Linked DNA regions of Arabidopsis thaliana. The protein of the gene in region 3 interacts with the protein of the main gene of each other region in a pairwise test. Each region holds a gene or a part of one and is shown on either strand. Other genes may lie near its edges. The genes, in order: ERF8, TCP5, TCP11 and TOC1.

Region 1 (6,947 bases), on a different chromosome or scaffold from region 3:
CTCGGCTTTTTGATGCGCCGCTGATTCTTTGTTGTTGTTATTAAATTTAAAGTTGATGTTGTTGTTGTCCGTAATTTTCCAGATTCTAATGCCAATATCTGCGTCTCTTTAATTGTGAGAGGAGAGCTTTTAATTTCTCGCTTGTTGTTGCCAATTTATTTCCATCAGAAAACACTTCAGAAAAAAAATGTTCGTAACATTTGAGTATGATGGCATCTAAACTAACGCACTTTATATAGCAGATCGTCTTATAGGTTGTTTGGTAGTACAATCAAGATTAGGAAAATAAATGGATTCATTGTGTGATAGTATGTTTCCACCGTGTGGAACTTATGATGCATTGATTAATCACTCAATTTTATAACCTTTTCTGTTACAAACATGTGCTTTGCCTTGGAGTCTTCCTATTCTACTAGATTATACTTATTACTTAACAGTAGTTGACATACAATAGTCTTCTAAACTACAAAAAAAATACAACAAATGTATTCGATAGTATTCTTTTTCTTTTTACCAAATAGGCATGTAAAAAACGATCAATTGGGTTGGTTATATGTCAAAATAGGGAGACTCAAGACAAAACGAGACTCAAAACTCTCGGTTAAAGAATGCCAATCAACATGAATAGAGATGTCAATCATTAGGCCGACAGTAGGTCTTGGTGGCCTAGTCAGGCTCAAGAGGCAGTCGATCAATACTCATTCATGGTATCGATCGATTTTGTCGACAAAATGGAATTGGCATGATGAAATATCGATCAATTATTCAACAAAATAAATTGACTTGTCTTGCCTCTAACGGGCTGTTGATTGATGCAACATAGAAGCTATCGATCAACACCTTCATTTCTTGTATTTTTTTCCTTCAGTTTTGCTCCAAAAACTTTAATCTTGTTCGAATCCAGTTTTTATCTAAACTGACTCTATAAATACCAGAGATTCTTTATAACACTGAAAACTTATTGAGTATATTAGATTTAGAAGTTTAGTAAATATTCTAACACCTCAAAGTTTGAGACAGAATTTTTAAGTTGATCAAGTTATAACAGTATTCTGAAAAGTGTATTTTCCAATCTTATTGATATGTTTCATTCACGATTTTTTTTTCTCCTTTCTCTTATCCCTCGACGATTGAATTTAAGATCAGATGTTTTAGCCCGTCTAGCCAAAATGTTTTTTGAAGACATTGGCTTTGTAAATTATACTCATTTGGTTTGAGCGATAATCAAGAAATTACTTTACAATTTAAGTTTGAATTTGGCAAAAAAAAGTTTTTGTTGTGCGTTTATTTGACTAGATTATATTATACTTTACTCTAACTACAATCATATATATACATTGGTAACACGATAGACAACATATATAAAAGTCTTTTAAACTATAAAAGCCAACATATATATTCCATAGTATTCTTTAAAACAAAAACAAATATGCATGTAAATAATAGATTTGTCTTTTTATTGTTGTCACTGTAGCGACATTTTTTTCCGTCACTGTAACAACGTATATTTTCTCCACAGAACTAACAAATTCGAATCTATTTGTTTGATGGTGTTCATTTTTAATCCAATGTACATATGCAAGTAGTAGATATCTCTTTCTTTTTTGTATATACACGATATATAAAATAGTTCACTAAGTTATAAATCTAAAAATTTATTTTGATAATATTTTGTTTACCAAATAAATACACAAATAGTATATATGCGTTGTTCGTCATGATATCGTCATATATAAAATCCACTACAATATAAAATTTTGGTCATTTTGTTTGATAATATTTATTTTTCACCAGATATAAGCATGTAAATAATAGATTTTTTTTTTCTTGTCGGCTCGTTAACGACATTTATAACGGAATAACGGTATACTAAAGTACAAATTTTTATTCTATTCCCTTTATACCAAATAAGCTTTCATGGTAACATCCGCTAAATTATATATTGTCATCATGGTAACATCCGCTAAATTACAAATTTCAAATAATTTTTACTTTTACCAAACAGAAAAGTAAGAAATATTTTTTTGTCGACACTTTAACGATATATATATGTAACGGTATATAATTTACAAATTCAGAAATTTTGTTCGCTATATATTTTCTTACAAATTTTTTTTTTTTTGTTTATGTGTTAACAACATATATAACTACAAATTCGATAATTTTGTTTGAATATTTTTTCTACTAGATACACACACAATAGTTTATATTATATATATATATATATAAATCTTGACCTAACTAAAACATATAGTTTAAAAGGGTGTTATTAGTTCTTAATTAATTAAAAAAAATTCAAGAATCTGATAAAATCATAGATTGTAAAGAAATGAAAGTTTCTAAACTATTATTATAGAGTTTTCTATAATCTTGTTGATTAGTTTTTCACAATTTCTAAATTTTCTCAAACAATCTTTCTTTTTTAATGATACTTTTCGTAACTTTATTTTGGAAAAAGTGTAGAAAATCATAAACCAATAACACAATAATTTAATTCATTGACAATTATAGATTCTTTTGTTTTAGCTAAATAATATAAAATTTATAATAATTTTATAAAAGTATAAATCCAATAACTATAGATTTATCAAGATTTTAAATTATTTTTTACAAATCTTAATATTTTAAATTTTTTTAATTGAATAACAATAGATTCTTTATAATATTTTAAGTTACTAAAACTTTAATTAAATCACAAACTAATAACACTCTTTAATAGTGTATACTAGTATTATTGTTATGTCATTATATAGATTTAAATCCGCATATTACATTGCTTTAATAAGAAAAATTACTTAAAATTGCAAAGTGGCGATATAACATGTTTTATAGATTTAGTACAAATATGTTCCTAGTTTAAATAGGGATAAATGCAGCAAAAACCAAATTATATTATATTCTTAATAGGCAGTAACTTAATTTATAAGATTGTGATTTGTGCAGTCTTTGTTACAAAGGTGAAAAAGGGTAATAAATAAGATTCTTTTGGAGAAAGAGAAGTGAACACGTGGCAAAACATAAGTGGATATAATAACAAAAACCAGTTTTTATATGAAATAAGAGAAGCATGAGAGAGAGATAATTAAACCATCTCTCAAAATGGCTTTGACTGTTCACAAGAAAGCTCCCCAAAAGGAGCGTTGCTTTACTCTCCTATAAAAAGAAGCTCTTCTACTTCTTCTCGTTACCACAAAACTCTTTCACCGATCTTCTCGTTCCATTCTTCTTCCTAATTACACCATGCCCAACATCACCATGGGTTTGAAACCCGACCCGGTTGCTCCAACGAACCCGACTCATCATGAGAGTAATGCTGCCAAAGAGATTCGTTACAGAGGCGTTAGGAAACGTCCATGGGGAAGATACGCCGCTGAGATCCGAGATCCGGTTAAGAAAACTCGAGTCTGGCTCGGTACGTTCGACACCGCTCAGCAGGCGGCGCGTGCTTACGACGCAGCCGCGCGTGACTTTCGTGGTGTTAAGGCTAAGACCAATTTCGGTGTTATCGTTGGTAGTAGTCCTACTCAGAGTAGCACCGTCGTCGACTCTCCCACGGCGGCACGGTTTATAACACCTCCGCACCTCGAGCTCAGCTTAGGCGGCGGCGGCGCGTGTCGTCGTAAGATCCCGCTTGTGCATCCGGTTTACTACTATAACATGGCGACGTATCCAAAGATGACGACGTGTGGTGTCCAGAGCGAGTCTGAAACGTCGTCGGTCGTTGATTTCGAAGGTGGAGCTGGGAAGATATCTCCGCCGTTAGATCTGGATCTTAACTTAGCTCCTCCGGCGGAATAGGCCGTGAGTTTTTTTTTTCTTATGTCGTTTCTTTAGACAAAAAAAAATAACGTTTCCTTTTTTTTTCTGCCTAAGAAAAAAATATTATCCGTTTTTTAGAAGAAAGTGTAGAAAAGCTCCAATATAATTTTTAGCTGCCGTGAAAAAAAAGTCGTTATGTATATATTATTATGAAACCCTATTATAAATCGACGTAACATAAGAGGATCTTAAGCTTTTTTTTTTTCTTTAGTATTTGCCAAGGAAATGCATCATCGTAAATTCGTAATTGAAAAGATAAAGTATTATAGAGCTTTTTGGGGCTCGTGTGTAGAAGAAATAGATAAAGAATGGTAATGTTATTATTATAAGACTAAATATAGTGATGAGTATCGTCGTCGTCGGCTTGAAAAGACAATGGTCCAAGTGTCGTGAAGACACGCACCAATCGTGGGAGGACCGGACCCATCTTCTCTGGCTGCGGCGTACGTTAGAAGAATACTTCTTTACGCTTACGTCATTTTCACAGTTTGGACTGCTTTTCTAACTTTTGACTTTTGTGTTTTGCATCAACTCTTTTAACTCCGATGATTTATTAACAGATGGTTAAGAGTCTTGCTTAAGTTGAATAGTATTCGATTTGAAATGGTAAAAATGTTTTAAGGAAGTTGAAGATAAGAAGAGCGGCGGCTTCATAATGAGAGACAAAGGAAGGATGAGATTTGATTTTGATTCTTGTCGCCAACTTTGTGATCAAAAAACGTATAAAACAGTTATGCTCTATGGTCGCAGATCCAACGGCTGGAATCGTCATCGTTACCACGTGGACGCTTAACATAATTTAAATTCTTATTTCATATTTTTTTAAAGAAGTTAGTATGTTTTAAAATATATATATATGCATGCGTACAAAATCGTGTTAAGGGTTATAATAAAGGGATGTAAAATTGGGGCCTCTAGAAAGTTGAATAGTTTCAATTAAGCCCTTATCTTAACGACATTTAGCCCCACTCAACCAAATATACACCCATGTCATGTCACTACGCACAACTATGGATCACTCCCATAAGTAGATGTTTTATATCAATTGACGATTGCAACTTTTTTACGTTACAAATTTAATGCTGGACCGAAGGCTACCATACTAGGATCCGAAAGCCCGATCCACGTGTGGCGTCATCAGGACAATGTTTGCGACACGTCGGCTGAGGTGTTTGGCGCGGTGTTTATGATAACGGCGTTTACACAAACCTCTGTTTATGAGCTCTGTGACTGTGACTGTATGATTTTAGTAAAATAACGAAAACAAATACTAGGTCCTTTCGTTCTTTGACCATTTCTCCGACCAAAAAGGGACCACTTACTCATCTACGTATATTGGATAATACATTGTATTATCACCTTTAATGAATACGTGTCCTCTGTGAAGCTTCAGTGACCCAATGAGAAAACAAAAATGCTGATTTAGTGTGACCCCAAATTTTATTTATTTTGTACGTAAACAAATGTTTTCGTTGACTAAAGAAACTTTGCCATTGGGCGATGGCCTTTTATTTTGGATGAAAACTCAAGAACTTTTGTTTTGCTAAATTTCCTTGTTATGTTTAGGCCTCAAATAGAAAACTTAGCAAAACTAAAGATCTTGAGTTTTCAATTTTTCATCAAAAATAATGGTCCTTAGTCTTTTGAGTTTATATTGTGAGAAAGAGAGTCACGGTTGCTATTTATTTCTTTGTATGTTGCTATTTCCAGAGTAACGATTGAAAGATATACTCAGGTTGGGACTTAATCATCTAAACCAAGACCGAGCTGGTATTCCTGAGCATATGTTTGACTCACTACAGGTCCTCTCATGGTAATAACCCTTGTTAGTCAATTTTTTTAGTTTACAGCTGCATTGAGTTGTCTGATTCATGAACCACACAAGTTGCCACTTTTGTAGAAGAATTAACAACAAAAGATTGATGACTTTTGTCATATGAGAGAGTTAAGAGAAAGAAAAACAAAAATAATGATTATGAGTACTGGTATATGAATGAAATGGTAAGAGTGATTACATATTATCACAGATAAAAGGCAAGCCCTTAATTATACAACTAAGAATATGCTTCCTCTCTAAAAAAAACCAGGAAGGAAAAATAAAGATAAAACTAAAAAGGCCAAAATAAGGTAGAAAATGCCAATTAAAAAAAAAAAAACTTAAAATTTTATAAATACACCCTTTTTCTGAAAAAAAATTATACACATAAATACCAAAATTCAATGCATCAAATCAATGTAAGAGACACACAAACAACATTCTTATGTTCTGTCTTCTGTGAGTTTCTCAACTTTGGTTAAGATCACGCGATGTTTGACCTAGCCATCTGCAAAACACAGAAAATTAAATAAACATTGTAAGTTATTACTCAGTTTTCGTTTCAGGAGAAATGTTTAATGCTAATCACATCAGTCAAACCTTGAGAATAAGAATCTTGCAAGTGGACTAAAGTTTGCATTAGAACTAAATTCTTTGCTAGCTTGCTTTCTTTTGTTCTCTGCATCATTGTTCATTGTCTTAGCGAACACACGGATCGCCATGTCTTGCACTTCTTTCACTGACACTTCCTTTGTACTGTATGACCATTTTCGAGTTTCATTAGATCAAACCCAGTATTGCCAATATAAAACAGACTGATACTGTATACACAAGTGTGTGTATATGTTCTTTTATAGTTACACTTACCTTCCCAACTGTTCGATCAGTTTGGCAATAAAAGCTTCAGAAGAACCAGGCTTTTCGCGTTCCATTTTAACTAAGGATCTCGAAACTCTATGTCCAATAGTTCCTTTTGAGTCGTCACCCCCAACAGCCTATATTATTTGCAGCTTCTAACTCAAGACCGAAACTTTTTTTTCTCTAAATTGAAGATGACTCATAACTCATTGAGAGAAGTAAGATGGCAAATGTGAGCGTAGTTTATAGCTTACCTCTTTTAGGGATGGTAATAGCAATAGTGACAATGATGCAGACAATGATGCCAATTTGGAGTCATCTTCTTCATCATCACTCACTTGTTGTGATCTCATGACTGGTCTTTGTTTATCAGAATGATCGCGGGAATTTCTGCAAGGTAACAGCTTTCATGTCAGAAATAACCAGACAACTCCTTGTGACCAGCAGAAGCCTT
Region 2 (7,689 bases), about 22 Mb from region 3:
TTGTAGTATAATTTTTAAAAGACTGTATAAGTTTGTGAAAAAAGTTAAGTGTGGATACATGCATAACAGAAAAAAAAAAAAAAAAAAAAAGGAAGAGAATAACCAATAATAAGTTATAAGAATCAATTTGGAGTAACTAAGTTAGATTTTTCTCATGTTTAAAGTCAAGTTTGTTTGATAGCTTTGTTATTATTTCAAAAAATAACTAAACGGTGGAATAGATATGTGTAAGAAAAAATCTTAAAATTGTGTGAAAAAACATAGAACTTAGTTTGAAACAAAATGAATACAGTATTTAATTAAAGTGAGGAATTATTAAGAATATAACGAAAACGTTGAGAACTGTAAATAAGCATGTTGATCCGTATGATCACTCTTTTACATGCATATATCTCTGCATTGCTTTCGCCCTAAATATAATCTCTCTCCCGCCTCAAACACGTGAATGTGAATGAACTTATGAATATAATCATATCACATTTTATTAGCTCTCTTGTTGAAATCAGTTGTGTGTTGACTAAAGACTACCAGCGATTATTTTTGAACTTTGATATTTGAGAAATTGATGATCAAAAGTCAGCAAATACGGAGATGAGGAAACCGCTAGCTATTACAACTAATTTGCCTTACATACGTACTATTATTATATCTATATTCACAGTTTTTTTGGTAACCATCACTTTCTTAATTAGTACATATATACTCACATATGTATACATAGGTTATATATGCATGATTGTGGGAGTGACTCATATATACACACGAGTCTAGGGTTTTGGCATGCATTACATAATACATATTGCCGTGCTTCTAGGCATTGTGAACAGTAACCTATCTATACTTCTAAGTTCGTATCTCTATATATAAAGAATATATAATATATATGCATGGATATATATTTATGTTCTTATGAATACATTTCATAATTAATATGCCCGTACAAATATACGTAGTTATAAGAAAATGAATGATTGTGGACATAAAATTATTTGAAACTTATTGGTGTTTTTCTGACACATGACAAGCAACGACCCCTTCGATTTCTTTCATTTGCATTGTGAACAAACATGACTTTTCTATATACATTATTACATTGGCGGTAAAAATTTGTACTTTTGTAGTTAATTATAGATATATATATCAAAATTAATTTGTAGATACGATTATATCCAATTCAAGTCCTGACTATGTAATCATTGCATAATGATGATTAAGATAGATCATATCATATTTTGATTAAAAAAATTACATAATGTTTTTTCTTAGCAACATTGTGATGCCTATATATATATATATAATGGTGATTGGTGAAATGCTTTGAATCTGGTCATACGATGGTAGAATAGCATATGGGTTTCGATGGACCTATTTGGTTTAAAGTTGAATTAGGGTTATGTTAATACTCTTTTTTTCTTTTTCTTTTTCTGAATCTGTTTTTCCTCCATCCTATTTTGAAAAGTATTATTGTTCTTTGCGTTTTTATTCACTTTCTCACATTCGTGATAACAATAAAAAATTCCATATATGTAAAACCTAAATCCTAACATATGAAATATGATTAACTAATCTAGATTATGGATTAGGATGAAAGTGCTAGCTAGTTATGAGATACCTATATTGTACAATTCATTTATTCGAGTGTATATATTCATAAATGAATAGAGAAAGACATTCAAGTAGAATTCATATAATTTCTTAAGGAAGCAAAAACTACCTTCAAAACTAAAACATATATAGAAATAACAACCATCCTCGCATTATGAATGTCTTTGTTCGAATCTAAATCCGAGACTATTAAAAAGTGTATACATACACGAAGAAGATACATAAACCAATCCAACAATACGCATATATATCAAAATATAGAAGAATACGTATACATATAACATTTTCAATGTATAGTGTAGATATATAAAATCATTCAAGAATCTGATTCATTATCGCTACTATGATGATCCGTATCATGATTCGAGCTCATCAAATGATGAAATGGTCTAATCAAACTCGTATTACCCGGCATCATGTGTTGCTGCGATGCGGTATTTGAATTCGAGCTAAAGAGCTGAAGATGACCGGCTCCATCGACGACATGATGATGATGAGAAGCTCCAAGAAACGAAGGGTATGTCGGGAATAGAGAGCTCATTGCCGGAGGAGTAGGACCGAAAAAAAGCTGAGATCCATCTCCGGCAGACGAGGAAGGAGGATGCAAATTGAGATTATTGTTATTATTAGCAGCAACATTAGATATTGCGACAGTAACGTTATTACCAGATTGGTCTAACGATTGTTGAAGATGTCCAAGGTTGTAATAAGCTGAAGTGTTGTTGTACGGATTGGTCAGAGGAAATTGTTGTTGATGATTGGTGTTAAACCCTTGATGATCTTGATTACTATTCTCGTCGTTTTTGATCCATTTTCCTTTATCAAGATCAAAACTTTCTCTTTGGGTCGTAGTTGTATCGGTTAATCTTGCTCTTGTTCTTGAAGAACCACCAAGATCCCAATTTTCCAAGAACCCGAGATTGGTTCCTGGAAACGTTGTTGATGTAGTTGAAGATGGAGATTCTCCAAACCCGGAGTTTCCGAAGATGAGATTTGGATACATCTGGTTAAATCCATGTGGGAATTGTAGAGGAGGTAGCTTGTCTACGTCATCTTTTGCTGCTTCGAGTAACCAATCAATGACTTTGCTTGGCTGACTCAGCCCTAATCGATCTTGAAGGTCGTAGAGTTGAATAGCTGTAGGTACGGACAACCTTATCCTCCGGTCTCGAAGACCACGGACTGTACATACTTTGCTGTGTCTGTCTTTGCCACCGAATGTTCTTGAGACTCGAACGATTCTTGGATTCCTAAAAGCTGAAGTCCATTGCCTTGAAGATGATACCGAACTCGGCTGTTGTTGTTGCAACATGTGGTTTAAGTTTACTTGATGATTTTGATTTTGATCTCTTTCTTGCTTTGCTTGAATCTCCTCTTCATCACATTCTCCTGATCTCATCTCTTTAATTCACTCAACAAGATCTTCAGTACTCAATTTGGTGTAAAGAACAGATCTGAAACAAGAAGGGAATAAATTGACCAATTTAATAGAAAATAAATCAAGAAGACAAGAATTAGTTGTTGTTAGCTTTCAATTGAATGAAATTGTTGATTTTAAATATGTTTTTGGAGCGAGATTCACATGAAAACAAAGCAATAATATCTCTTTCTTGAGTTTGCATCAAAGAAAAGAAAGCTCATAAGAATTTGAAATTCAAACATGTTGAAGGTTATATGTTCTTACGTTGATTGAATACTGGTAAGCTTGAGTCCTATTTCAAGATCCAGCTTGATAGAGAAGTAGAAGAAGGAGGAAGAAGAAGAATAAGAAAGAGATAAGGAGGCAGAGGAATGTGTAGTATTTCTTTTTTTGGAAACTAGAATTACATATGTATATTATAATGATTGGGGAAGTTAAATAATAAATGAATTAGATATATTTTTAAGTATTATATTCCGATCCCTAGGGCTTTTTTTTTTCGGTATGAAAGGAATTTATGCAGAAGGACAAAAGAGGAGCAATTTATGTAGTGTATTGATACTGTGATGGGAATGTGCATGTTTCGTTACACTCACAGTCACATAAATCTTATATATATAAAACTTTACAATAGTTGACAAAAAAAAAACCTTTACAATAAATTTTAATATATTTTAGTATTCAAGTTTTGGTTCCCTTTCCTTGGTGTTAGACATTCATTTTGAATTTTATATGATTTAATTTTTACCCAAGTTTGTGATCTATGTTGTCTTCTTATCTTAAACAAAAATATAAACATACGGTTAAGGTCATTTAAGAGAAAGTGTACGGTTGACAAATTAATAGTTATAAATGGTAACAAGAGCTTTTAAAGTGAAAAAAAAATATAGTACATGTATAGTAAATTAATAATGGTAAAAGTGGTTTGAACTTTGAACTGTGAAACATATATATATACAAGATCGAGTTTGAAAGTTTTATGAAACCAAATTTTAGTAAATTCAAAAAAATTCATAATATAAACAAATGGAAAGACCAATTTATTTACAGTCGTCGCTCATTTCATTTGAGTTTCTGTCGTTTTGGAAAATGAAAAGTTTTATTTGTAGATAAATTGTTGAATTTCATTATTAACGAAGCAACTTGTTGAAACCCTAAATTTAGTGATAATGAAATGTAGACTTGTTAAAATCAAACTGTTGGGAATACTGCTTTTATTTCTAATTAACTACTTGTGGGTTATATTTTTAAGCATATATAGAAAATATCCATATATATAAATTTTTTGTTTTAATATCAACATATATAAGTAAATATAATAGAGATTGACAGCTAGAGGAGGTAAGGGTCTGTCTCTGAGATAGAGAATGGACCAACGAGTATAGGTTTTTCTTTAAAGCATCTAATGCCTAAATACTCACAAAGAGATTTGTGGTCCACTTCTCTTCTAAGTGTCTTTGCCACTGAGATTTTTGCCCACAATCACAAACCATTTTCTTTCCTCTTTGTATCCAACTTGATCACTACTATATATAAAGTCTTCTGTAATTGACCGCGCCTTTAACCCACACTGGTTGTTTACGAAGAATATTGAGTTACTGCATATATAGTACTGTACGGTTTCAAATTAAGAACTCTGGTTTTGATTATGTAATCTTGAGATGAAATTGACTGTAACAAAGTTACATTTGTAATTTTGCAAGAAAAAGTTTTGTATCAGTTTTTTGGTCCTCACTTAAATATGGGGAAAATATTAAATAAATATGAACCACTTATATATCGTATAATTTTAATGATCATATAAATTGTGGTAACTGTTCATCTCAAATCAAAGGTTCCATGGATTTCTTTTTCCACATCGGTTCCGTAGATTATCCAACACAATTTTAAGGCATTTTAAGATGATCACAACACAATGTCACAGATTATTTTAAGAAGGCGATTGGAAGCCTTCATTAAAGGCATTTCCAAGGATCTTTCCGGATATGGTGGTATATTTTAAACACAAATTATTCTTAGAGCGAGATAGACTTGTACATTTCATTTTTTTGGTACTGTGATAGACATGTACTAACTTTTATATAGATGGTGTCAGTGGTATATTGGTCTAACTAATATATGCTGCAACAATATTAATTATGATGTATGTTCATAAAACTTGTGGTGAAATTTATCACAACAATTTTTTTGTCCCAACAAAGAAGCTTGCCAAACCTACCCGTCGTCTAAAGCAGCCCACTACCAAAGCCGCCTTTAGTCATTGCTTGGTTGGTAACGTCTGTCAAAGCCAAAACCTTAATTTCTTTCAAAATTGATTTAACGTAAATTCAAGCTTAAGGAATAAGCTAGAAACTATTAACAAGATCATATTTTAGGGAATTTTGGGAATGTATGACAGGATTTGGCAACGAATTATGTGAATACAATTAAATTGTTCCTGCCTTTTATATATATACACATAATTTAACTTAATCATCATGTTGACAAAAAAACAACCGAATCATATATAGGGATGGATGATGATGACGACGACGACGACGTGACTTGAGCTTCTTGGCTTAATTTCCTCCGACTTTTGGATCATATATATATAGGATCTTGTGATCATTAGTTGTACAGAAAATACCAAATACGTTAAAATTGTATGTTTGTATACATGTAACATGTATGTATATGTTCGACACTTCTGACTTTAGGCTGAATTTATTTCAAAACTCTGCCAAATTGAAATTTCAGTCTGTTCAAATAAGTTCTCCATCTGCTTAAAAAAATATAAAAAATGAATAACCAGGTTGTTTTTCCTAAATAGATCTAGCTAGGCAATAGAAGCCCTAACTCACGGCTCACGCTGTAGATTAATTACGTCCTAATTTTAAGAATGTTTACATGTCCTATACTTTTCTTCAACATAATTACGATTTCTCTTTCTTACAGCGGAATTTAAATTGAATATTAACGACTTGTAAGGGAAAATGTTGTAGATGTAAAAAAAAAAAAAAAAAAATGTTGTAGATGTAGGAGAAGAAAACTGGTAGTAATTAGCATCATATCACCGAATAATAAAAATAAGGTTTCTCGCAGTTGACTATCCGTAAGAATTAGAAATACTTACTAATTTGTTTATTCCTACCAAATTTTCATTTGCAACCAAAAATATTTGTATATATGTGATTGATCCAAATTTCAGTTTTTTAGTTAGGGAATTGGACATTTTTGTCTTTTGATGTGGGAACACAGTTTCTTGCATCCAAACTCACAACATGTTGTTTTCTTTAAATCTTTAACCATCAAAGACATTTTAGGTCAATAAAAGCATCTTTGTTTTCTAATGTAAATTCATTCATTATATACTTTATCAAGGTTGAATAAAAAATCTTAAGAAAATATAGCTAACTAGTCCAGTACTCCTCCTAAACTTTTTTTTGTTGTTGCCAAATTTACTGGATTATGTGATCTAATAATATGAAACACTCTAAACAACAGAATCTCAATAATATTTATCAAAACGAAAATGATGGAACTGTGTGTATTTTTCCACAGAAATAAAAGAAAATAAGACAAGTTCGTGGTCTTAAGCTATCGCCATCAGAACGTGTACAGAGTCACACAAATCGGTCTATATACCAGAATTCTAACAAATGATCAAAAATATCCAAACTTGCATACTTGCGTTATGTGATATCAACGAATCATAACATCCACATCTCTCTTTTATTAATTCAACTACAAGAGAGAATCAAAACAAAAGAACGAAAACGGTGTCGTTCATTATCTAACAGTGAACACTACACGATAGCCTAAGAAGGTCTTCTTCTTTTTTTGTCTTTTGGTACTGAGCCGTCGTTTTCGGGTCTGAACGTCAGTAAATGCAGAAGGCTCATGCTGAGACAGACAGCGATATGTCCTTGTAAGAGACAACACCAAAAGGAGTAAAAACCACCAAAAAAAGTAAATTATTTAACCACATAAATACACTACACACACATCCATATATTTCTATACTTATATACATGCTGATGCTGACATTATGACTTACATACATAACTGCTTCTCTTTTTTGTATTATTGACGTAGTAAAGGTGTCTCCAGAGTTTGCTGCACTGAAACTACTCGTTTCTCTCTGTGTTTTTACTGTTAACAATATCAAACCAACTCTCTATTGATCTCTTCATATTTGGAAAAGAATATTTAATAATATTAATAAATCACGAGTTCATATATAAGACAAACATATATATAAATAATATAAGGTTTTAGATGCCAAGACAAGTATTGGCTTTTATGGATAAATGGATATGAAAGTAAAGGACGTATACCCATAACGTTAGACAAATTGACTCTGTTTGTTGAACTTTGTTTTGTAATAGTATTCATTTAGATTCCTTTCTTTGTCGGTAAGCCAAATAGCCTCGAGGGATTGAGAGGAGACAAAGGGGAAGATATGAACCTGCAAAGGATGAGAAAATGCAGTAAGAAAGTTACTGTAGAGTAGTGAAGTGCCTTTAATGTCTGGGGGAGCAATAAACAAAGGAGACAATTCACAAAATAAATTATTATTTCAGATAATGGTTTTTTTTTTCGAGCTTGGACCTAGAAAAGTAAATCAATCCCATGACTCAAAAACTGTGTATACTCCATGTATTGAACTTACAAATGCTGTGAAA
Region 3 (7,374 bases):
TCCAAATTATTTAGCAATAAAAAAAAAGAAACACAAAGACATTGACAAGAGAACATTAACTGAAAACATGAGTAACAACATCTCTTTCATAATTTTCTATGTAAAAGGTAATCAAACAATGCTCGTATATGTTCACAATTGATCTAAGGATCAGTTTACAAAAGGAACACCAGAAGGAACTCTCTGCGCATACTCCACATACTGTCTCCCAAAAAATTGCTTCAAGTAATGCTCCTCATAAGGTATTCTCTCTGCAAAGAACCGCCACACCACAACCGCAAACGCAATCGCTGAAATTGGATTACAGAGCATTACTTGCGTTCCCACAGACCAAATGAGAAACCCGGAGTAACTCGGATGCCTCATGATTTGATACACTCCTTCTGTCACAAGCTTATGATGCTCCTCCCGGCGAATTTTTATAAGGTGTGTGAACGATCTACCTGCTGTGATTATCGCGGTTTTGCGAAGGATTTCTCCAAGTATGATCATTGTAAGACCGAAATTGCTGATCCACCAGTGTTGTTTCAGCCCCGGGAAGAAAACAATCTCGGCTATGTACTCGAGGACTGATATTAGCATTGCTAAAGCATAGTGTTTGCTGATTAAGAGTGAGCTTAAAGTTACTTTCGATGCTCCGTGAATGGCTATGGCGAGAATGTACTCCGATGTGTGGAAGAAGATTATCGCCAGGAACATTTGAGTTAACTGTCTGAACCCGGTGTCACTAAATATCTCTGTCATTGAGTCTTCACAAGATTACTTAGACCTGAAAAAACATGCGAGTAACAGACCCGAGAAGGTCAAAGAACATCATTAGCCAAAAGATGGGAAACAACAAGCATTCAAGTAAAATCCAATCCAACTCACTTCACCAAAGATTTTTTAAAACCAAATCACAGGAACACTAATGTCAATCAATGTAACAAATCTCACATTAATGTTCTTCTAACACTAAACTACAATGTTTCTTAATCCAACAATTGATCTATGACAAGCATTCAAAACACAGTTTTCACATGAGAATTGAAGATCTTACTCAAAGAATTACAAACAGATATGTATAGCTGATGAATAGTACGGGATTTTTTTCTATTCTGTCTATACTTACTAATACTAAAATTTCACGGAATCACAAAATTCTAATCACTAATTTCTTCAATTAGGCTTTTCGTCCTCGTTTTCTGTAACTCAACTGTCAAACCACGAGAAACGAAGAATTGAGCAGGAACCGTAAACGCTACGAAGATCTAAGACATACCCAGTTGAAATTGACGGCTGCTACGAGGGAAAATGCGAGAAAGACTGGAAATTTCGCAGAGGCTGACAGTGAGAATCGCGTGGACTTTGAAGGAGAGAAGCAAAGTCTACACCTTTACCCTTTATTCTTTGCTTGCTATAATCAAGGAATTACTTTTGTAAACACAGAGATCTCTTCTGTTCCGTCTGATCTTCCCCGATAAGAAAAGTCTTGTTTGAATCAAGGAGCTTCCGGTCAAAATCGATGAGAAGAAACGTTGCAGGATCACCGAAATTTCAAGAACCAGACTATTTTAGGGTTACCGGTTCGAGACGGTTTGATCCAATGGTCCCCTATCGGTTTGTTCCGGTTATAACTGATAACGATGAGTTAAATTGAAGTATTTCTTTTGTGTTTGAAGCTTACGATTATACTGCTCTGGATAGTGGATGGGCTTGTTATTAGTTTTAAAAGTTTTTGGTGGAACCTGAATTATCATCCGGACCGGCTCCGTTAACCCGAGTTCAAATTTGTTTCCTTTACTACGAAAGAGTAAATAGTGGGACAACTTCATTAACGAACGAACCATAATAGAATTCATGCTTAAAACTAACGGGACAACTTCAAATTTGTTTCTTTTGCTGTTTCTTTAGTTTTCTAAAGAGACTTGATTGAATGGCAATGATCACTAGTTAAACGACTTCTCTGTTTCGCTAGTAAAAACAGAGCTTTTATAGCGTTTTAGGTACAACAATCAATCAATCTCTCTCTCTTTCTATCACTCTCCGAAACAAATTAACGAGACCAAATATTCTTAAACCCTAAAACCCTAATCAAACAAGCAATAAGCTTAAATTAAGTAAAAAAGGAGCAAAAGAAACCGCAAATTAGAGGTACTTTCTAAACACTTTCGATGACATAAAACATAGGAATTTTTCTATACATTACCAAAAAGACAATACCATTTCTCAACGTGGTTCGTGGTCGTCTTCCCTCCGACCCGACCCGTTAGCTCCACCAGACAAAGAAGCAAGCAAATTGAGATGATGACCCGGAAGATAATTCCCAACTCTAGCTGCTGAAGCCTCACCCATTGCAGCTGCTGCGGCGGCGGAAGCTTGCTGTTGCTGCTGGTGGCGGACGAAGAGTGTAGCTGGTTGCTGCTGCTGCGCAAAAACCATTTCCGGTGGAGCTCCGGTTGCAAAGCTCCAGACTTGTCCGAAATCCGGCCTCGCCGGAACAGCCCAAAACCCACCAGAACCACCACCACCCATTAACGAAGTCCCCATTGTGTGTCCCACTGTTAACCCTCCTCCTCCTCCGCCGCCGGATTCTCCTTCCTCCGCTCTGACGACACGTTTCCCGAGAGTAAACGGAGAAGAAGTGGAGAGAGAAGCAGTGGAGAAACTCGCCGGAGTAGTGCCAGTTCCAGTGGCGGCTATGATAGAAGGCTCAGCTTGACGGAGAAGCCACTCTATGGTTTGACCATCGGACTTGTGACCTAACTCTCTGGTCAATTGAAAAACTCGAGCTGCGCAAATGATTGGCATACGAATCCTTCTTCCTCTTCCGTCAACTTTGCTGTGTCGATCTTTAGACGGTGGTTTCTTAACGGCGTTAAGAGGTCCTTTGTTTGACGTCTGCTCGACTATGATGCCGTTACTCACTGCTCCGTCGTTGTCGGCCATGGAATTAGGATTTCGTTATCACTATCTAACTCTCTCTCGAGGAGAAGAAGAAGAAGAAGAAGAAGAAGGAGGTAATGATTTGAGAGGAAGCTAGGCTGGTGGAGACAGGAAGGAGAGCACATGGCTGGTGGGGTCCCACACAGCTCACTTCTGCTAGGTTTTTTTAATTTGTCCGGACGCGGTTGAAGCTCACGCGCTTGACTCCGGTGTTGACTATAGCGTTGGACCACGGTCGGGCAGGAGAATTTAAGTTTTTAGGTTTAGGAGTTAGTTGGGGTCCCCATTTATATGGTTGCTTGAATTACATTAGCTAATTTACGAGTAATTAGGATTCGTAGAAAATAAGTAGCGTTACAAGAATAATATGAATTCGATTTTGGTTTTTACTAATTCTTATTACTTCTGTGACATGTAACCACAACAATGCTGATTTTTACCTTTATTTCTTATCGATAAAATTTGTTTTAGAATGAAGTAGTATATGTTTTATGCTTTGTAACCACAGTAATCATACACGTTTACCTCATGAGTTTAATGCATTTTATAGGATGTAGGGAAATTAGATTGCAATTAAGACAAAAGCTGTTTCCAGTTTCCACAATAGTTGAAAAGATGAGGAATAAGAGACAATCAATGGTGGTAATTGATTGGTGAGTATACTTTACACCTACACTGATTACGATTCTATTTTGTACGATTTTAATTTATTTATTTTTAGTCATTTATAATTTCACATCTACTAATTTGTGATTGTCTCTTATTTTTTATTTTTTATTTAACTTCTAGGATAAATAAATAGCTCAAATAAAAGAAATGACAATTACGCGCTTTATGACACAGGTTACTAATCTGAGTATAACCCAACCACTGTGACCCCCACACGATATGCGTTCGTGTGTGCAATTTGTATAATCAAAATTCTTATTACCCATTAAGCAATAATAAAACAAATCATTCCATTTGGAGCGTGGCATAATAAAAGTAGCCGTGCCCACCTGGCAGATATGCCGATTTTGATATGTCGTTGCGTCGAGATTTTTTAAATTGTTTCGCGACAATAATTTCTTTCATGATGAATATATAATGCACATTATACTATATTATCGTCTTAATATTTGTTATATGATTGTGAAATCCTTTAACAGAAATAATTGTTATGATGATTGCCGTACCCATACGATACAACCATGAGTGATGTTTAAATGCCTTTTTTTAAAAACTATACCCAAGCCAACTTCTTAAAGTTGTCGATATAATACGTGAAGGTGCTATCAAAAGCGATGAAAAGAATATTTTTGTGCATGCTTAAAGTATGATAGATAGTAAAAACTTGAAACTACGACGCACAGCTGAGGAACCACCAAACTAGAGACTCGTAGAGAAATTTTAGTCACATTTCGTAGCTACTTGCTAGGATTCAATTGAACTAGCTAGTTCTTAAAAGAAAACGTTGCCACAAAAGCTTACATACAAATTGTATGATACAATTGACAATTATTAATGACCGGCGCATGTTAAAAGTTATATTGAGTGATTAACTGGGATTTGAATGATTAGTTGTGGGGTTAGCTGGATAAATGCATAGAAATTTTTAATGATCACCAATTTACCAAAAATGCTTATAGTATATTCTAATCTTTTTATTTTATTTTAAAATAGTAATATGTGTACGAATCATTTGACAATTGTCAAATGTGTTAAACAGCTGGAGCCCATTCTCATCTGCCTTTATTTATTAATGGGAATTTGTATAGAATTATTAGTATGGGGGTTGGTGGACGAAAATACAAGAAAGTGACACTTCTGTCAAAAGAGAATCAACTCGTGTTTCATACAAATATCTTCTTTTCTAGTTTTCTCATTTGGCGATGCCTCTCTAGATTTTCTTAGCTTACTCCACCAATCAGAATAATCCACGTCATCTCGTTTTTTTAAACTGAGAGGATCGCTTTATCTTCTGCCATCTATTTGACTAGCGTGACTAAAAGACGTTCAGAGACCAACTCGCTTTGTAGTTTGTTGTATTTGGTATTTGTTTGATACTAAATTACTAATCATGTGAACTGTGAACGATTCTGACTTTGGTATAACTCAAAATTCTCTAGTGACTTGATTTTTATCAAACGATATACATGCAACGTAAAGATTAACGCAAACAATCGAAACTTTAATCCTAATCACCTGTTTAGAACTCGTTACAAATAACTCATAAAACCAGGTTGTTTTAAGGCTCGCTTGGAATGACATTAAAGAAATGGTAGATCTCTTCACTGTCAACTACTCCGATCTCTGTGGAACAAGCTGAGCAAAAGACCGGGTTAACTTTTTCGCTATCTTCAGAACCAGTTTCTTGCATCTCGGAATCTCTCCTTCTTTTACCAACCTTTAAGGGCATTGTATTCTGTTGCAAAACTGTGTCTGTACCTACTTTGCAATTGACCACAAAGACTGCTCTGTACTGTGTCACATACTGCTCGTGCCTGCAAAAGTTTTACTCAGATTGTCTTAATTTGGTTCCGCAGTTTATAATACTAAAACCAAGTTCAAAGAAGTGCAAAGGGATCAAGTCATAAACAAAACAATATCATCGGATTGAAGAGGAAAGAAAGAAATCCATTGTGATAAAGTCCTTATATTAGTCTATCGCATGAGTGTTGTAATAGCCTAGGCGGTGTGTAGTGGATAGTAGTTGTATCAGCAATCTTTGAGTTAGTTAGCTACAGAGCTAGCAGCTAGAAAAGGTAGTTCTGGATTTACCTATGGGTTTTGGGATTGGGAATTGGACTGAGAGTAGAAATTTTTCTCGTTAATCAAGTCATATAACTGGTTTGGATTCTACCAAGATTGTCATTCCTAACAAAAACCTAGAGCCTGTAACAATTGTCAAGAATCTCATAATCAAGTCAACATTCCAGAATCTAGCAAGTTACTATCAATATATTAGCAAACACATTGGTGAGGATTGAACAATGGAGCCCTAGCAACATTGAGAAAGCAAAGCCTGGATGGGATATAACAATCGTATGAAGATAAAACACCAAGTTCTGATGTTGAGAGAGGAAAATACCTCTGACACTCTAAGCAGACAGTGGTGAAACAAGCTGGACAGCTAAGAAGAGCATCAGAAGTACGACCATCTCTCTTCTTATCCATCCAAAGCTCATCTTTATCATCAATATCTGAATCATAGAACTCCGGTTTGATGGAGTAATCAACTTCCTCGTCATCCGAAACTGTTACAAGGTAGTAGACAAGAAGAAGTTAGGCCTCATCAAATCAATATACAGAAAATAGACATACTTGTCCTTCTGATTCCACATTATTACAAAATAACTTGAAATCTAAACTTGAACACAAGAACACAAATCTCTTGAATACTGAAGAAACAACTTCTCTTTTCGCAATCTATGGCATCAATTAGCTTACGAATAGCAACATCAATTACACCATAAAGATTCAGAAACTTAGCTAAATACTAAATAGCTCAAGGTCTCAATACGATGGATGACAAAAAAAGCAAAAGAGAGATCATATTAACCGAAACCTATGAGAAATCCATGGATGAAGGAACGAAACAACAAAGGGATTGAGTCGAATCGGCCAGCGAGTGAAAGGGTTTGAGCGTATTAAAGGTTTTATTTTACCTGTTTTCTGTGAATTGGTCGGAGAAGCCATGGTTTTAAGATTCGATCTTCACTGCTAGTGTAATATACGACAGCTCTTGGTTAAGCTTAGCTCAGCGTCGAGCTCCGACGGTGCAGTCAAATCGGAGGTTCACCGACGAAGACGATGACAAACTTCGTTTTATATAACTTACAGTGGCTTCTAATTGGGCTTACAAATTGTTCAGATGGAAAGATATATGGGCCTTAAGAAATTAAGAAGCCCATTTCGTAAAAATCAGTATTTAATTTTAGCCTTTAAGGTGTTTTGTTATTTGCAACAAGAAGAAGTTGTCTGTACAACAGAGCATGAAGGGGTTTGAATTTTCCAATAGACTAAATAAAACGTTACCATAGAATTACCAAAAACAAGTTTAAACGGATACCATCGTATCTTCACAATCAATCAAAGAATACATTCATATCCTTGAATATATCAATCCTCTAATTATGTATATTCATATATTTACATTAATTGTGATTAGTTACCTCTACGTGTATATAAACATCTCATTGTATTATAATAAAATCATCACTTTCACAATCATCTATAAACACTTATAAAAAAAAAAAAAACTATTAACAATGGCTGGTTTGAAAGTTTTTTCCTTTGCTTTGCTCCTTATTCTCACTTTCTCACTTATTGGTACGTATTCTCTCTTATAATTAGGGGTATTTTCTCAAGTTTTTACACTCTAACAAACTTATTTTTGTGTTTCAATACAAACTTATTACTTTAATTACAAAATTCCATGAATTCATATTAGACAAAACTGTTTCAATT
Region 4 (9,247 bases), about 22 Mb from region 3:
TCGCTAAGGACGATCTCGCTATCTTCCCGCCGATCAACCACGAGAATCTCTACGTCAACGGACTCGAATCTCCGTCGGTATCATCCTCTTCTTCATCTTCCTCGTCGAGACTCTCAGATTCGTCCTTCTCTCCGTCCGATTCAGACGAACAATTTCAATTTAGCCGGAAATCGCATTCTCAGCCATCGGAAGATGTCGGGAAATCTCCGTGGAAATCCGTAATTGAGATTGATATTATCCAAGGTTGGTGGAAGATTCTTCTCGCTCGAGTAATGTCAAATTTCCAGAATTTGGTTACCTGCTTCTCCAGAAATAGTCTCTGTTCCTTCTCAAAGACTCTCCGGTCATTTTATTCGGTTATGGTCATATTCCTTTGGTGGTGGAAGCGTAACCGAACTCGCCGACGACTTGAAAAAGGTGAAATCATCGCTGCTCATCTCAGAGATACAATCAAAGAGAGAGACGAGGTTTGTATTCTCATTCTTGCTCTGTTTTTTTTATAATTCCTACCAAGTGTTCGACGAAATGTCAATGAAACACCTATTGTTACTAACAAGTTTCTTATTTGTGTGTTTCTGCAGAGAATAGCTCAACTCTTGCATCAGATTACTCAGATGAACGAGTTACTTGTAAAAATAACACATTCCAATTGATCACAATATTCTTGTCTCTTGTTTTGTATTCTTCAGAACCCATATTTTTCGTAATAAGAATCAATGGGACAAAGAGAACAACAAAAGAATCTCATGTCCTTTGCTTCTGCATTACTACTAATACATAAAAAGCAGAACATCTTACTTGAGTTTCTTGTGATACATTGCCTGCTATATCAGATGTTCTTAACAATGGGTAGAAGAAATCAATCAATGTTGCAGATTCTTCTTCTTTGTCTTGCTCCTGCGTTTCGGTTTTAGTTTCAGTTTTGGCTTTGTTTTGTTCATTCTAGCGTGAATCTTCAAGTTAAGAGCACGACGATCCACCATTGCAGCTTCTTCTTTCATCTTCATAGGTTTGAAAACCTCTGTGACAGATGGATCAAGCAAACTAATGGAGCAACTAAGTGTAACATCAATTGACAATGCCTCTTCCCAAAGCTCTCTTCCTTTCTCAAAGTTTCCTCCTTTACATAGTTTTGGTATGAGCAGATCATAAACCTGACCATAACCACCCACTGAGCTTCTCTTCATCTTCTCAAACAATTGAAGAGCAAAGTTAACCCGCTCGACCCCACAAAGAACCCCGATCAGATCATAATAGAATTTGCGTTCGGGTCTAAATCCTCTCTCGATCATCTCATCCACAATTTGGTTGCCTTTACCAAACCTTCCTGTCAAATACAGGACCCTCACAACGAAGTAATAGCTCCCTGTATCCGGATCACATCCCGATCTTTTCATCTGTTCTAAAATCTGGCAGGACTCTCTCACCCTCCTAGTCCTTCCCAAACAAGAGAGCAAAATGTTGTAACTCATAGACGTAGGTTGGATTTTGTAAGACCTCATCTCCAACATAATATTCAAAGCTTCAGGAACAAGCCCAGACGGGTTTCGATTCACGTTTCTTTCGCAAAGGCAGGTCAGCAACGAGTTGAAACAGAACAAATCCGGTGTAATCCCTGCTGATTTCATATCTTGTATAACTCTTCTTGCTTCCTTCACGTTTCTTTGTACCGACCACCCGAATAAAAGACTTCTATACACAGACAATTCATTCCCGGATATTACATCCTTGTGATGATGCATAACTCCCAATGCTCTCTTCACATGTCCTCTGGAACAAAGAGCGCTTATAATAGCCGTCACAGTGAAACCATCTTGTGGGCAAGAAAATTTGTCCAAGATCTTGAAGATACCTATTGCATCTTCTTCCTTACCAACCTTAACCAGAGTTTCAGCGACAATGCTAAACGTTTGCTTGTCCATCGCCCGATTCTCCTTCCTGAGATCTGATAAGAGTATCTGCATAGCTGTGTGATCCTTCTTCTCAGCCAAAACTCTTAGGACATAGTTGAATTCCTTGTCGTGTAAACTAGATCCCAAGCTTTTACACGACCAGGAGAAAAACCTCAACAGCCTTCTCGGTGAAGTCTCGTTCTTGCAAGACTCAATCACTTGGGTAACAAGGTTTGATGATGGAGAAACAGAAACCTGGTTCAAGTTTTCTTCAAGGTCATCTAGACCACCAACTGGAGAAGAAACTATCCGAATAACTTCATGCAACGCCGTTTCCGATCGGTCAACTAAATGGTGAGAGCAAAAGTAACGTGTCAGTTTTGCAGTACTCGTTAGATACGTAAACCTGTTTAATCTGACTGTGGTGGACATCATCTTCTCTGAGGAATTTCATCAAACACTTGATATGCGTATGCTTCTTAAAAGCCGCCAAATATAAACCATAGAAGGGACTCTCTCCTGACTTACATGTTTCTCAGAGTATTTACAACTTCGTTGTAAATTCTTTCAGCAACATGAAATTCAGATTTCTATTAAAAGACCTAAATTTGCAGATTTCATGAGATCGCTCGGCTCAACAACAATATATATTCATTTGTTGGAAACATTGCCCGCGTGTCTGAAAAGGGCATTTTAGTCTTTTACATTCCATCACGCTTCAAATTCAGAACCGGATAAAACCGATAATCGTGAGATACGATGGTTATAACTTATAAGTCACTAACCGGAATGATTACTCTCGAAGGCCGCCGATGCATATTGGAAAATCGAACTCCCGATAAAATAGTTCTGAAATTACACGAATAATTAACATCATAAAGTCATAAACAAGTTATTGGTCAATGGTCGATGGCAAAACGTAATAAAAGTTGGACCGGGACAAAACGTGTCTTACGGTGGATGAAGTTGAGAATATATCATGCATTATTGGTCCACTTGTACTAACGATATTCGCAGCTACTAATATGAGCCAATCGGTAATACGAAATATTTTAGCTTGTCGACTACTTACTTTCTATATAAAAGTTTAGCCTACTAATTATCTCTTTTTATGATTATGACAACTTGATTATTTGTTTCCCAACCACTGATGATGAGATTAACCATCTTTTTTGCTAAGAAGGTAAATATTTCATCTTGCTAATGTCCTGTTTACAAGACAATTTGCACACATACACTTATAACATTAGAAAAAAACACTTGAAACTTTGTTACAACATATCATTTAGCTTGATTTTTCAATCACTTTAAGAAGTTAATGAATCATAATGCCTAAATAAGTCCTCTATAACAACCATGAAAGGAGTGTTATATCTATAACCCTGTGCTTTTAGAAAGAATCATAATTTTTAGGAGTCTTTTGTGATGAGAAATTGAGATGTAATAAAAGTAAAATTTTCTATATCTGTATCTTTCGTTTTTTATTTTTATTTTGTTTGTATCTTTAATTCTTCAGTACCTAAAGATAACAGAAAAATAAAATTCTGATAATAGATTTTCTTGTTGTTATAAATATATTTTAATAAACGAAACGAAGCCGAATCCTAAAATTTGGTTTCTGATGGTTTGGTCTGATCTGGTCATATATTTTAAAAGAATTTGCAATTTTTTCTTTCTGTCGACCTTTTGATATGTTTGTTGATTTTGATATGGAGATGCATCTTCTTATCTTGTATCTTACCACAATAATATCAAAAACAAAAATAAATATCATGAGATATTTTCTCCAAGATGACGTGGCCTTTTCTCTATCTCAACCAAACTATCCAACACAACCTTTTTTTTTATGGCCTGCACTTTTTATTGTCCACGTCATCTCCTTGGCCTAAAATATCCCAAGTCCCACCATTAAGCTACACAACAACGCGTAAGAAAAAGACTTAATCTCCACCGTCCAATTCTATCCTCTTTCAACGGTCTCTGATTTACCATCTCTCTCTCTCTTTTTCGCGTCTCATAATTTGACCATTGATTGACAAAACAAAACAATGAGTCTTCTTTCTCTTCTCACTCTTCTTGTCGGAAATTCACCTTCTCTCTCTCTCCTCCTCATCTCACCGCCGGCGTTACGCCGGATCTCCGGTGACTTTTGTTGAGCTTTTTTGTTGATTCATGATTCGATATAGAGAAAAAAGAATTTCCTATTTCAGCTCTTTGTTCTTAGATTTATCTTTTTGTTTGTTCTTATGGATAAAGGATTAGGTTGGGGGATTAAAAGAGTAGTTTTTGTTTGGTTGTGAGATTACTTGACTTTGTTAAGGGGATAAATTAGGCGACTTTGTAGGGACACTGTACCGAAAAACCCTAGTTCTGATTTGGCCATGGAAGTATCATAGCACTTACTATTGTCGGCTTTACTTCTTCTACTTTTGTATAATCCTTTTTTTTCTTAGGTTCTGTGATTAGATATTTTTTTTGTGTGGGTTTAGTTGTTAATCTGATCATGGATTTGAACGGTGAGTGTAAAGGAGGAGATGGGTTTATTGATAGAAGCAGAGTCAGGATTTTGCTTTGTGACAATGATTCCACGAGTTTGGGAGAGGTTTTTACTCTCCTTTCAGAGTGTTCTTATCAAGGTATGATTTATAGGTTTGTCCTTGTCTTGTTCCCAAAGTTTCTCTTTTTACTTTGTTATTTTTTGCTAAGTTGGGATTACTACTTTAGATTGCAGATCTCTTATAGGTTCTTGTCGTCTGGCTTTTTGAGTCAGTATGGTCAGATGTGATCAAGATGACATTTTTAACCTTTGTTGATTTTAGTACCTTATTGATAGTTTTTGAATGCATCTCTAGTGTGTATTGCTTTCTATTTTTACACTATGCTCAACTGTTTGTTGTTCAAGACTCAATGATGATATATTGGATGAATTGTTTTTATTCTTTTTGGAATGCAGTGACTGCAGTGAAATCAGCAAGGCAGGTGATTGATGCACTTAATGCAGAGGGACCTGATATCGATATAATACTGGCGGAAATTGATCTCCCAATGGCTAAGGGTATGAAGATGCTGAGGTACATCACACGAGACAAAGATCTTCGCAGAATCCCTGTGATAAGTAAGCTGTGTTCTTTGTTGCTCTTCTCGTTTTATTATCTATTCGTGAAGTTGTATCTTCTCTGCTTATCAAAGTGCTTTTGACAGCATGATCATTAGCTTTATACTGACTAATCTTATAATATTCTCAATTTAAGTGATGTCGAGGCAAGACGAAGTCCCTGTCGTTGTAAAGTGCTTGAAGCTAGGTGCAGCTGACTACCTTGTGAAGCCTCTTCGCACCAACGAGCTTCTGAACTTGTGGACACACATGTGGAGAAGAAGACGCATGGTTTGTTTTGCTTGTCTCAAGTTCTCTCTATTTATCTTACTGTTTTTGAGCAATACTTGATAGCCATATCTCTCAATCTGTCGTCTTCTGAAATAAAAGACCTTGATGCATGAAGTTAATGCTATTGATTTCATATATTTGTTTTGGCAGCTAGGACTTGCTGAGAAGAATATGTTGAGCTATGATTTTGATCTTGTGGGATCTGATCAAAGTGATCCAAACACAAATAGTACCAACCTGTTCTCTGACGACACAGATGATAGAAGTCTTAGGTCCACCAACCCACAGAGAGGAAATTTAAGTCACCAGGAAAATGAGGTGAGAAAGTATTTGACAGTTTAAAGCCCTCTGAAAATGGAGAAGAACTGATTTTTTAGCTTGCGCTCATGCTTTTGCTGGTAGTGGTCTGTTGCTACTGCTCCTGTTCATGCTCGTGATGGTGGTCTTGGTGCTGATGGAACAGCCACTTCTTCTCTTGCTGTTACTGCTATAGAGCCTCCATTGGATCATCTTGCTGGGTCTCACCATGAGCCAATGAAAAGAAATAGTAATCCAGGTGATTGTTTCTCTTTGATGTCTCACTTTCTAATAGCTAGTCTCTAAAAGAACCTTTGTTTTAGTGAATTCTAATATAGTAGGGGTTTTGCAGCGCAATTTTCTTCAGCACCGAAGAAAAGTAGATTGAAGATCGGAGAGTCCTCTGCTTTCTTTACATATGTCAAATCTACTGTCCTTAGAACTAACGGTCAGGATCCTCCTCTTGTCGATGGAAATGGCTCACTTCATCTTCATCGGGGTTTGGCGGAGAAGTTTCAAGTGGTGGCTAGTGAAGGGATCAACAACACCAAACAAGCACGCAGAGCAACACCAAAATCTACTGTCCTTAGAACTAACGGTCAGGATCCTCCTCTTGTCAATGGAAATGGCTCACATCATCTTCATCGGGGTGCGGCGGAAAAGTTTCAAGTGGTGGCTAGTGAAGGGATCAACAACACCAAACAAGCACACAGAAGTAGAGGGACCGAGCAATACCATTCTCAAGGAGAGACCTTGCAGAATGGCGCCAGCTATCCACATTCCCTTGAGCGGTCACGCACGCTTCCCACATCAATGGAATCTCATGGTAGGAACTACCAAGAGGGCAATATGAATATTCCCCAAGTTGCTATGAACAGAAGTAAAGATTCGTCTCAAGTTGATGGATCGGGTTTCTCTGCACCAAATGCCTATCCTTACTATATGCATGGGGTCATGAACCAAGTTATGATGCAATCAGCAGCCATGATGCCTCAATATGGTCATCAAATTCCTCATTGCCAACCAAATCATCCGAATGGAATGACGGGATATCCTTACTACCACCACCCAATGAACACATCTTTGCAGCATAGTCAGATGTCTTTACAGAATGGTCAGATGTCTATGGTTCATCATTCTTGGTCACCGGCAGGAAATCCGCCTTCTAATGAGGTGAGGGTAAATAAACTTGACAGAAGAGAGGAAGCTCTGCTGAAATTCAGACGTAAAAGGAACCAACGTTGTTTTGATAAGAAGATTAGGTATGTGAATAGGAAACGCCTTGCTGAGAGGAGACCCCGCGTTAAGGGTCAGTTTGTTAGGAAGATGAACGGCGTGAATGTTGATTTAAATGGACAGCCTGACTCTGCTGACTATGATGACGAGGAAGAGGAGGAAGAAGAAGAAGAAGAGGAGAACCGGGATTCATCTCCTCAGGATGATGCTTTGGGAACTTGAAGATACACCAAGAACTGAAAACCGTTGTGTTATACGTATTTGCTTGCATCTTATCAAACAACAGAAGATGTTGATCGACTGACACGAAAAAGATGATACTGCTACAGCCAAAAAAACATCGAATATCGAGTTGTCTCTAAGGCAATGTTGGCTCTTGCGGCTCAACTTTTTGACAGAGCATTGAAAAGCTCTCATTGGGTTTAGCTTAGTTCGTTGATAAACATATAATGTATTTTATCATGTTCACTCACATTCTCTCAGTAAGTACTCAGATGTATTAACCTTTCTTCTCCTTCCAGTATCATTTACTTGAATCTTGTTTTTCCCTCGCTCTCTCACCTGTGTTTACATATATAATTATATATAATCGCTCCATGTCTTCCACCACTAAAGCTTCTGTCTTTCCTCGGAAAAACACAATACAAATGCAATTGTGTCACAGACAAGAAGCATATGAAAATCTAAATTTGGATTTAAGTTATCTGAAACTAAGAACATAATCAGCTGTATATCTACTGTCAGGAACAACAGTTCTGTGTTTCTTTCATGACTACATAAATAAATCTCTACAGTCCACTAAACTCTGATTTCTTTAATTCTCTGTGGTGCTATTGAGTAAGGTCCACTAATGTATAACAAGCTTTCTAGCAACTAGACGGATTCCGGCTCTCTGCTGATAATCATATGGCTCCAGAGACAAGAAAGCGTCAAGAACAGTTCTCGGATTCAACAAAGACTCAATCTCTTCAGCCTTGGGGTTGCTAGAAATGAGTTTCTGAGTAGCAGTAGCTCCAGAGAACTCTTTCTGGTGTATCTCAGCTGCGTACCGATCTATATCTCCATTTAACTCTGTGGGTATACTGCACATACAAAGAAATAATCAGGAAAAAAAGCAAATGAAATAAGTAAAGGAGATATATAGGAAAACATACTGTATCCTTGCAGTGGGACAGTTCAGAAATCCTTTCATTGGAATGACTAGAGGGTTCCAGTCAGAACCACTGCCTGAATCAACAGATATTGTCTGTGCAGCACTGTCGCATTCTTGAAGTACGTTGCAGAGACTTGGATACAGATCAATTACAAAGTTCAACCTCCGTCTTCCAGCTTTATCCATAAATTTCCCATTGATTCCAAACCGTACTTTCAGACGAGGACAATGGAGCTGAAGGGGTCTGTCCCCAAGGAAGAGTTGCAGCTTCATTGTTTGGCTCCCGTCATATAGCGGGACATGAGTTGCTCTGATACTTGAAACAGATATTTTATCTAGCTCCATGAATCCTTCCTGGTCACCGGTACCTTCAGAGGCAACAGTCTCAGACTGCTGATTTTGTTCTTCTTCCATGGGAACATCTGATTGAAGAACTTCAGGGGCTATTTCGTTCCTCAAAGTGCTCATATCAAATGGATCCGTTTGAGCTTCTGCGGATGAAACAAATGATAAAATAGGTATAGTTGTCATGTTCTCTCCTGTCTGCTGATCAGTGGGAGATTGCAGAGGAGATTTTTTTATAGTCCTACGCCTTCTTGAACTAGTTTCAGGAGTAGTAGTAGTAACCGAGTTCTCTATAAGTTCATCTGGAAGACTTGACTCCTGTTGAAAAATGGCATGTTTCTGAATTAGCTCCTCATAGTTACATCACTAAAATCTATTCTACAGAGCGACAGGTACACACAACACACGATAATCCATCTCGAAGAAGTAAAGAGAGCATACCAAGAACAAAACAGTGGCACAATACTTGAGAACCTCGAAGTTCATCCTTACATCGTCCAGACTCCTTAAGAGATAGAAATAAACATAGTGTACAAAGCATTAGAACTCAACCGGCCTATTAAAACACCGTAATGCAAAAAAACTCACATATATAAATTACCTATGCGTCTGGTTTCCAAGTCCAAAGTATGTAGCCAAAGTCGCCATCTGTTCAAACAAAGGCCACAGGAAAACAGAATAAGGAACCATCAAAACCGCCAAATTCGAATTCCATCAAGCAAATTCAAAATACACAGATGAATATCAATCATGACTCTTTGAGTATACGAGAAGAAACCATCTCAAAACAATAAACAAGTCAGGACCAGAGAGCAAAATTGTTACCTTCATATCACCAGCTCTTCTCCCAAACCTTTGAGTAAGCAAAGCCAAGGAGTCAATGGTGCCCTTTGGCTCTGGTGGATCTCGTCCAATCTCAGCAAATGCTTCTCTTATCCT

The links.
Region 1: the proteins of TCP11 (region 3) and ERF8 interact in binary tests that used the Arabidopsis thaliana proteins (3 or more experiments, as listed by UniProt).
Region 2: the proteins of TCP11 (region 3) and TCP5 interact in a two-hybrid assay, tested with the Arabidopsis thaliana proteins (2 studies listed by BioGRID).
Region 4: the proteins of TCP11 (region 3) and TOC1 interact in a two-hybrid assay, tested with the Arabidopsis thaliana proteins (one study listed by BioGRID).

What each region holds. Positions count from the first base shown.
Region 1 is NC_003070.9:19,818,390-19,825,336, reverse strand, and holds ERF8 (ethylene response factor 8), read left to right. Parts: upstream 1-3,084; 5' UTR 3,085-3,240; coding exon 3,241-3,798; 3' UTR 3,799-4,000; downstream 4,001-6,947. Other genes in the region: ATMAP4K ALPHA1 (Protein kinase superfamily protein), read right to left, coding at 6,104-6,143, 6,236-6,391, 6,503-6,630, 6,748-6,883.
Region 2 is NC_003076.8:24,533,649-24,541,337, forward strand, and holds TCP5 (TEOSINTE BRANCHED 1, cycloidea and PCF transcription factor 5), read right to left. Parts: upstream 3,597-7,689; 5' UTR 3,290-3,596; intron 3,060-3,289; 5' UTR 3,005-3,059; coding exon 1,922-3,004; 3' UTR 1,689-1,921; downstream 1-1,688.
Region 3 is NC_003076.8:2,676,382-2,683,755, reverse strand, and holds TCP11 (TCP family transcription factor), read right to left. Parts: upstream 3,356-7,374; 5' UTR 2,929-3,355; coding exon 2,209-2,928; 3' UTR 1,763-2,208; downstream 1-1,762. Other genes in the region: ATSTE14B (Isoprenylcysteine carboxyl methyltransferase (ICMT) family), read right to left, coding at 151-744; AT5G08320 (E2F-associated phosphoprotein), read right to left, coding at 5,153-5,408, 5,996-6,161, 6,573-6,603; AT5G08315 (Defensin-like (DEFL) family protein), read left to right, coding at 7,176-7,236. UniProt on the Arabidopsis thaliana protein: Transcription factor involved in the regulation of the circadian clock. Acts as a repressor of CCA1 by binding to its promoter. No binding to the LHY promoter.
Region 4 is NC_003076.8:24,671,145-24,680,391, forward strand, and holds TOC1 (CCT motif -containing response regulator protein), read left to right. Parts: upstream 1-3,818; 5' UTR 3,819-4,395; coding exon 4,396-4,528; intron 4,529-4,845; coding exon 4,846-5,007; intron 5,008-5,143; coding exon 5,144-5,277; intron 5,278-5,427; coding exon 5,428-5,595; intron 5,596-5,679; coding exon 5,680-5,833; intron 5,834-5,926; coding exon 5,927-7,032; 3' UTR 7,033-7,406; downstream 7,407-9,247. Other genes in the region: AT5G61360 (uncharacterized protein), read left to right, coding at 1-467, 582-653; AT5G61370 (Pentatricopeptide repeat (PPR) superfamily protein), read right to left, coding at 864-2,327; AT5G61390 (Polynucleotidyl transferase, ribonuclease H-like superfamily protein), read right to left, coding at 7,658-7,892, 7,965-8,626, 8,750-8,813, 8,910-8,956, 9,134-9,247. UniProt on the Arabidopsis thaliana protein: Controls photoperiodic flowering response. Component of the circadian clock. Expression of several members of the ARR-like family is controlled by circadian rhythm.